2 linked regions of the Coturnix japonica genome follow. The protein of the gene in region 1 purifies or fractionates together with the protein of each later gene. This does not show direct contact. Links are inferred from orthologs where the notes say so. Each region holds a gene or a part of one and is shown on either strand. Other genes may lie near its edges.

Region 1 (4,632 bases):
AAAACACCTCACTATTAAGATGATTGTTTAAAGCCCAAGCAATTTATTACCCACAAAAGTCAGTGCTGAGACAGAACTTTAGGAAAAGAGAAACAGGGTCAAACCTTTGTTGACAAGAATAATACTTTAATAAAACAACGCAAAAGGTTTGATATCAATACAAGACCTTCCAAGCCTAAAACACCTCTCTTCATTTTGTCAGTGCTAACTACACACAAACAAAAGAATACCCCAATGCTCAGTTCTAACTTTCCATTAGATCTCTGAAGTTTTAAAGACTTTTTTCCAGTCGAACCTATTTGGCTAAAACTAGGTCATAACATATTTAACATAGTCAAAAACATAGTCAAACCCTTTTCACCTAAAGAGCACGAACTGAGGCCCCCAGTACTGTCTCACATTTATGTCAACACTGAATTCATGACCTTAAAGCACCCAAAGCTTCTTGCACTGAGTGTGCCAGGTATTTGCTGCTGTAGCTAACAGAACCACAAAACAAGCATTGTAAGCTTGTGTACTACAAACTTCCTCCTCCAGTTTTCTCTAGTGCTCAGCTTCACTGTCTAAACATACCCAGTCACTTCCAGCTTTTTTAAAACCAGAATTACAGAATGCATACAACTGCAATGCACTTCATTATCCAGCCAATGAACTCTGACATTTGCTGCAGGACTGAGAGAATGTATAAAACTGTGCTGCAGCATTCCACTCGTGGTCCGGGAAGAGACAAACACCTGTGTGCAACTACAGCAAAAACAACACAAGATTCTTCAGAGAAGGGAACCATTCTTCTCTCCTATTCGGACCCACCAAGCAGCCCCTTTTTGCAGGTTGCCCTTCTTACAGTAACTTTCATGATAAAAAAGTACATCTGCCATTGGAAATAAAGTTGCTAAACCAAACATGCTTCTTGATTTATACTAGAAGGGTGGGCCAAAATTCTAACTACTGTCAAATGGCATCTATCCTCTTAATAACTTAATTCTAGGGCCACACGGAACACATTGCAAGCAACACCCAATTTGAGGCTGCAGCAACGGGACAGATCAATATGATGGGAAAGGCATTACAACAACAGTGTGATGATGGAAGGACCAGCACAACAGAAAGGTGATATAAAGGAAAGGAAGATTACTCAGCATATCAGAAGATTCCAGGTTTGCAGAGGAAAGCTCCACCAAGGAGGGATGTCCAGCAAGAGATCCTTCCCCAGTGGCAGTCAGCCCTTCATGGGGTCTAGCAGAGCTGCAGCCAGGCTTCTCCCTTCCTGGTCACACAGCTGAACTGCCTTCACCTGTGTACTCAGGGCTGACTGGGTCCTTTCCCCAGGTGCTCACAGTGGTTCAGGCTGTGATTCAACAGTCCCCATACAGAGGCAAATTATTCTAGTCGATATTATTTCAACTGATTACTTTGATAAACAAGGTTTATCTACAGCTCTGCCTCACTGCACATTGTGGCATTAGGCAGCTGTTAAGCTCTTACTGCAGTCTCCCCAATACAGAGACAGATACATGACAACATTTTGCTTAGCTATTTCCAATAAATCAGTGTGGGCTGTTATTCTAAGACCAAAAAGGTAACCCCATACAGTAAATTTTACATATTTCAAGCAGTTCCAAACACGTATGTGCTTTAGCAGGACTGGGCTGGAGAAAGAATTACTTAATGAAAGCTGCTATGTGTTAAAACATGCCTTAATTCATAAACACAGAGCACTACAGAATGGGTCACGTGAATAACAGCCTACAAAATCTAGTTCAGAATTTGTGCTTTCCTTCTATGCAGCCACTTCCCTGCAGCTCCCTGCGCTGGAGACATGCCCTAATCAGTGCCAGCAACAGCTGCGCTCACAGAGAGAGGCAGGAGCATCCTCACCAACACAGCTGCACAGGGCTGAAAAGCAGCGGATGACCACCAGCACGTACAGCAATAATTTCTATTCACAACCCATAGAGGTTATTCTGCACAGCAGATAAAGCGTATCGAGTTTTGGATATCTGTAATTCCCTGGCTGGCACTGTTACTATTCTCGACTTCACAGCACTGCAAGAAACATTTGTAGATGCTAACGTCGATTTCTCAGAATTCAAACGATCCTGACAAAGTTAGAAAACACTGACATATGAAAGTACTATAAACGACGCAGTCAAACAGAGCACAGATTGGAACTGGAGCGCTGTCGTAGCTCCCAGGCAGCAGGTCACACAGCCCAACGCGACGGATGCGAGCAAAGGGCTGTGTGTGTGTGTGTGTGTGTGTGTGTGTGTGCCTGCCGAGCGAGCCAAGAACTTGCCGTACAAGGAACTATTGAAGTCTCCGGCTGACGGGTCAGAATTGACAACATCACCGCGTACCAGCGGAGGCAAAACAGGGTCTGGGTGAAGGACCGGATGTTTCATACGTGCAAACAACGCCGAACCGGGCAAGTCAGAGTTCACCCCCGCCGCCCCCCCGTCCTCGTTCCTAAGGGAGCCCTCGGCAAGCTCGGCCCAGCCCGCTGCGGGGAGCAGCATCCCACCGCAACAACGGGCAGCGAAAGGAAACCAGCAGCTGCCGCGCGCCGCCCCCATCCCGAGCCGCCCCTTCCCCCTAACGCGAGGAGAGCGCCCCGAGCGGGGCGGGATGGGGGGATTCACCCTCAGCGGGGACGGAGCGGGGCAGGACGCGGAGTCCGACCGAGGCCGGAGCCGTTCCCCCCTCCCCCATCGCGCTCCCCGACGGGACACCCCCGCCCCGCTCGGCCCCGCCGTCTGCAGGGGATGATGCCGGGGGGGTCGGGGGGGCGCGGAGGGAGCGGTTCCCGGCCGGCGGCGGGACCGCGGGGCTTCGTGGCGCCGCTCCCCCCGCGGCCGGGGCCGTCCGCGTACCTGGTCCGACATGGCTGGGCACGGGGCGGGCGGCTGCTCGGCTGGGCCGCTGCGGGGCTCGGCTCCTTTCTCTGCCCGCAGCGCAAACACAGGCCGCGGCGCGGGCGGGATTTCCTGTGCGCCTGAGCTCACTTCCCGCCGCCGGCTCCTCCCCGCCCGAGCGGGGCTCGGCTCAGCTCTGCCCGCCCCGGCTCTGCCCGTCGGCACGAGGGGCCCGACGTGCCCCGCTGCTGGCACCACGCGTAGGGCCCGAGGAACGGAGCTCAGCCCGCCAGCGGGGCCGGCAGCGCAGTGCGACGGGCAGCGGGCAGGGCAGGGCGGCATGGCCGCTGGGGGCAGCGCGGCAGTGCGGTAACGATCCCAACCCCCAACCAGTCGGCTTCAAAACAACGCACGGTACCAACAACGGGACAGACCTCACCCCATTCGCTGTTGGTACTCACAGACAGACACAGCTGTAGCCATGTGCCGGTGTGGCTCTAGCATAAAGCCTGTGTGTGATTCTTAACAACGTTTCCTACGCAGTTTGCAGTTAAAGCGCACGCTCGCTCGAGCCAGAACTCAGCTGCCTTCCCCCATAGAGAACAAAGGCGCGGCTCTGACATGTGCACGGTCGCACAACACGCCGACTCGCCGCTCCGCCTCGTTAAGGAAGTCACAGCCCCGGGGCACGAGGAGCGTTAGCGCTGCGGAGCTGATCCGACCGACCCGCGAGAAAGGAACGCAAAGACCAAGCCCAGGCTTCTCTCCTTTAACTGCATAAACCCTATATCCCATATATTTGCAGTTAAACCACATTAATGCTGCTTTAAAGAAAAACGGAGCACACACACGTAAGGCTCTTATCAGAACACTCAAAGCCATCGCTGCTGCAACCACCTGGGAATTAAGCGAGGCTATTATGGGAAGTATTGCTCCTGCTCTGATTTTCTCCCTGCAACTAATCTCAGTCACTTGGAGTCCCTTCCATTAGCTCAGGCTGAGGTGCGGCTCTACTCGAGGCCATGGATGCAGCTGAGCAGGGAAGGGCCGCAGCATTCCCTCACAATCTGTGGCCCATCTCCTCTGCATAACACCTCTTTCACCAACCAAACACAGGCTCTTGAACATCAGATACAGCCACTTGGCTCCTAACACAGGCTCCTGAACAGCCAGTTGGCTCCTAGTGCTGGCACAGCTGCTCGGGAGCAAAAAGGATGAACATAACACTCTAAGCTCCAGCCTGGGCTGTCAGCACTGAAACAGGGCTTTGAAAGTAGGTGTGTGAACCTGCCTGACCTTCTGCACTGAGCACTGCTTGTTCAGTGACGCTATTAAATGCTCATTATAACACCGAAAACAACCAACTCCCACGGCCATAACGCGAATAACCCCGTTATCGCAGCGCTGCTTCCCCCGCAGCCCCACACGCTGCAGGCCGGACACACGGCGCTGCCTCGTGGCCACCAACCGCGGCCCAGCACCGCCCCCAGCCGGCGGGCAGCGCACGGAGCGAGCCCAACAAAATGGGGGCTGCGCTCAGCACACGGTCACAGCCCATAAGGCCGCTATACGCAAACAGGAGCTCGTAGAGCACAGCTACGAGGCACAGCGCGGTGGAACCTTTAGGGAACCGCCCCGTTACCGGCCGTGCCCAGGGCACACAGTGTCACAGCCGGCAGCCCCGGCCGCGCTCACTGCGCCACGTGGCCTGCGGGAGCGCGCGGAACTGGCTGCCCAGCATTTCCCCTTCCGGTGAGGTCACTTCCGCTGCGCCCACTCT
Region 2 (4,075 bases), on another chromosome or scaffold:
TAGTCTAATATGGTGACCAAGTTTTTCTAACTTCCACAAGTCACTGTGCAGTTACTGTATCTTCCTTTGGCACTGAACTCAAATTCTGTGCTGTTATATAAACACAAATATCCACCAGCTCAGAAATGTGGCATTTCCTCCTGAGAAGCTGACTCCTGAGCTATTAGAATTGCTCTACTTAAACTAATTCCTGACCAGAACCTGCTCTGCAACTGAGTCAGCCTGTGAGTTTTCACAACTGAAAGATAGACAAGAAAACTATGCCTCTACCAGGTCAGCATATAGCACGACTCTCAGCTGGGCTTAAGAACAAACACTTGTGGATATTACAGTGACTTTGTCACTGGTTCTACAACATATCTCCATTTATCTTTTGCAGACAAGTTTGCTTTGTATATCATATCCTGCATGTGGTTACATCCTTTTATCTACAGGCAAAACAAAACAGCAAAAATAAATTAGGCTTGAGAACTCAGAGCTTCCCTTCTAATCCTTTAAACTAAGTTAGTAATGTTCCCATTTCCTCCCCTTAACTCCTGCAGCTTATTCAGATGAGATCAACTTTGCTACTTGAAGAAATGATGTGACAAGAACTTCAGAGGACATTTCATTTTCACCTCAATTCAAAATACTTTCTAGCGTCACATTTCACATGGCGTAGGATGCTGACACCCAAATTCCACATTACAAGTTATTTGTACGTTGCTGTCCCCTACTAGAAGAAACCCTCACCATGAAGCATTCCTCAGCATGAATCCCAGAGAGACTCCAGGTGTCAACTTGTTAAAGTTTAACACTGATCACAGAAATAAGTTCAAACTAGAAGACAGCACTGCAAGAGTTACATGCAAGTTTCCTAAGACACATTTCAAATGAGCAGATCTGACTGCAATAATTAAGGGCATCGTCTTAATTTGTCACAGTGAACCCACACCTAACACAAGCTGTATCACCAAGTAATACATCTGCTGCTAAAGAACTGGCTGCAAAGGAAAACAGAGCTTTTTGTCCATATTTTCTTTATTGTAACAGAAATTATGTCCAAGATCACTTGAATTCAAAACAATTACACCATACCTCTAAGGTGATATTTGAGATGTATTTACCTGTGAGCTCCCTTTTTATATTAGGAAGATTAGCTGGACAGGAGTTGCTGATGTTAAGTCCTGGAGGAGGCATGCTTTGGTTGCCATAAAGGTCAATCAAATTCCCAGACACTGGCAACTGGAAAAGATAAACAAGGAAAATGATTATTTAGTTTGCTCTCATAAAAAGCTTCCCACAGAAGAAATGAGTTAACCTCTGCTAAGAAATCTGTGCACTTTTCCACACACAAACAGAGTTTGTAATAAGGCCAGCAACAGTTTTGCATAATGCACGGGCATGAGGAATAAACCACCTACACTGGGAAAGTTATGTTCTCTCTTTTGAAGAATGTGCAGATATTACTCTTTTTTTTCCTTTTCTTTCTTCCTTTCTTTCTTTCTTTCTTTCTTTCTTTCTTTCTTTCTTTCTTTCTTTCTTTCTTTCTTTCTTTCTTTCTTTCTTTCTTTCTTNTTTCTTTCTTTCTTTCTTTCTTTCTTTCTTTCTTTCTTTCTTTCTTTCTTTCTTTCTTTCTTTCTTTCTTTCTTTCTTTCTTTCTTTTTCTTTTCTTTCTTTCTTTTTCCTTTTCTTTAAAGGAAGCACAGCTCAACTGAAGTTACAAAAAGTCTTAAGAAAGAAGAGGTAACACTGGCTGACAGTAATGTGGTATTTTTCCCTCTTATCTTTCAGTGTACTCCACCCTCATCACTTCTCTTATGCAAAAAAAGTCTGAAAGAGCCTACAGAAAGCTCTCAGAGGATGCCTCCTTTTTTCCAGTACCATCAAGTCGATGCACATTACCTGCTTGACAGAAACCACTACTCATCAATTACATTCTTCATGAGACTTGGAAGCTCCTTGCACTGAAAACATTTTGTAGGTTTCAAGTCAATTTGCTTTTCACCTTGCTCAACAAAAATAAGCACCAGTTGGAAGAAGATGATTCTGACTTTGTTTCTTCACTTACTCGTTGCTTTTGTAATTCATATTTGGGAATGTTTGAACAAAGATATTTATGAAGAAATACTAAGAAATCGTTCCAATAACACTGATCAGAACTACCCCTTTCCATTCAAATAAACCTAAAGAAATTTATATTTCTCCTGAGCTGATCATTTTACCCGTCTACTCTTTGTTTTCAAACTAGCTTTTGAAAAGACAGGTGTAAAACATCTTCATATCTTATCTGAGTGGCAACACCTATCTTTGCTGCAAAGAAAACCAGTCCCTCTGAGACACTGATTCTGCACAGATTAGACTATTAACTTTACACCCGTGTAAATAACGCTGCGGAATACAATGGAGTGAGTCACAGCATAGACTATTAAACTCCTACTGACTGTCCTTGACAGACCGAGACGTAAGAAAATTTATCTGCCATCTAGAGCTACCATAAGAAACAAAGCTGATATGAATTCATTAAGGTACCATCACTTAGAAGGTATGCTGAGATTTGCTGAGCCAAATCCTGAGCAGACAGTGGCCAACAGCAAAAATTATGTCCTCTGACTGACTCTTAAGGTAACAGAGGAAAAACGTACCTGAATTCTCACCAAGATCTTGAGCCACAAATCTACGAGCTCCCCCTTAGCTTCTGAATTCAATACAGAATTGTGTATTAAAAGCACATCAAATAAATCTAATGCCCAGCTGTCCTTCATAATGGTCCTTCCTAGTTGTGGCACACCTGCATTGATGCCACTGCAACTGTCATCTTGCTTGCTGCTCTACAAGGCTCACCCTGATATCTTATGTTCCCTCAATACAGCCATGATAGAGGAGCAGCAACGGCATCATACAGCCTTCTGACTTGGATGTATTTTTTCTATTCATGCTCTTAAGTACGGTGAGAGCACAAAGGACTTGTTTATAAGCCCAGAACTTATAACTTACAACTTATCTTGCAGAAGGCAAAAAATTCCTCTGAAAAAAAATGGAAATTAGCATCTGAAACCATGGGTAAAGAGGTCAGGTTATAATGAAACACGGAGAACAATCAAGGTCACCATGCTGCTTGACTTGATGCAAGATGGACCCCTGCTTCCTACAAGAGGTTTGTGATTTCACACCATACAAGCACCATAGTTGTTAACACTGTGTGAGATTATTATGTAAGGTTCTGCAGGTTACTCACTGGAAGGATTCTGTTAGCCAGGATGCAGTGTGTTGCTCCCTTATTTATCTATAAGCACGTGTTCAGTGACAGTTCTTGAAACACAACTGTTTGCTACTTGTGAGGTTTAGCTTCCACAGGGAAGTCTCCTTTAGAAGTGGAGCAGCATGCACTTGCAAAGTTTTCTGCCAGAAGTTATCGGCTGGATGAACGAGCTGCCATTTCAACTCGACATACGCAAGTATTTTACACAATACCTAGATGTGAGTTAGTAATTGAATTGCTAAGTAGAAAAACCCCTCAGCAAAACCAGTGACCATTCTGTGACACCGTACACCACAGAAGCAAAGCTGGTTAACCTGTGACCCAGTACTAAAGTTTACAAATACATCCATAGGCATTTATTGCAATGAGCCCTTTTCAATTAAGAGGTACTTGGAAATGTCCCTCAGCTTGTTCTACATGTAAACCCCTGATTTTGCTTATCAATTAAGTACTGTTACCAAATGTAACAAACCAGTCCTTTCATTCTTTGTTGGTTACAGAACAATAGCAGCCTTTGTTGCAGTCTCAGCACAGCTATTTATAGGTTGCATCTCTTTAGACCATTTCCTCTCTTGACTTTTTTTCTACCTCTGCTTAGCTCAGTCTACAGACATTTATTCCTCATTAGTAAAACACTGTGTTTTAAGAGCCTATTACAAAAGAAAAGCATGTGTTGCATCAGGTTTATTTTTTTCCCAAACCTATTTTCAGAAACATGGCTCCATTTCCATCACTTTCAGGATTGGTACCAGGTTAATTCAGGACTGAAATATACTTTTCTTTTATTTTTAATCCAGCACTTTAAGAGTATTAGTATACTTAGTTCTGCTATTA

Evidence for each region. Proteins that work in one complex are often made in the same cells at the same time.
Region 2: the proteins of SUMO1 (region 1) and MITF purify together in Homo sapiens (affinity purification with western blotting; 3 studies listed by BioGRID and IntAct, with this or other methods). This does not show direct contact. The link is inferred for Coturnix japonica from reciprocal best matches to the Homo sapiens genes SUMO1 and MITF.

The regions. Positions count from the first base shown.
Region 1 is NC_029522.1:10,246,637-10,251,268, forward strand, and holds the start of SUMO1 (small ubiquitin-related modifier 1), read right to left. Parts: upstream 3,004-4,632; 5' UTR 2,883-3,003; coding exon 2,871-2,882; intron 1-2,870. UniProt on the Homo sapiens protein: Ubiquitin-like protein that can be covalently attached to proteins as a monomer or a lysine-linked polymer.
Region 2 is NC_029527.1:12,975,329-12,979,403, reverse strand, and holds part of MITF (microphthalmia-associated transcription factor), read right to left. Parts: intron 1,225-4,075; coding exon 1,107-1,224; intron 1-1,106. UniProt on the Homo sapiens protein: Transcription factor that acts as a master regulator of melanocyte survival and differentiation as well as melanosome biogenesis.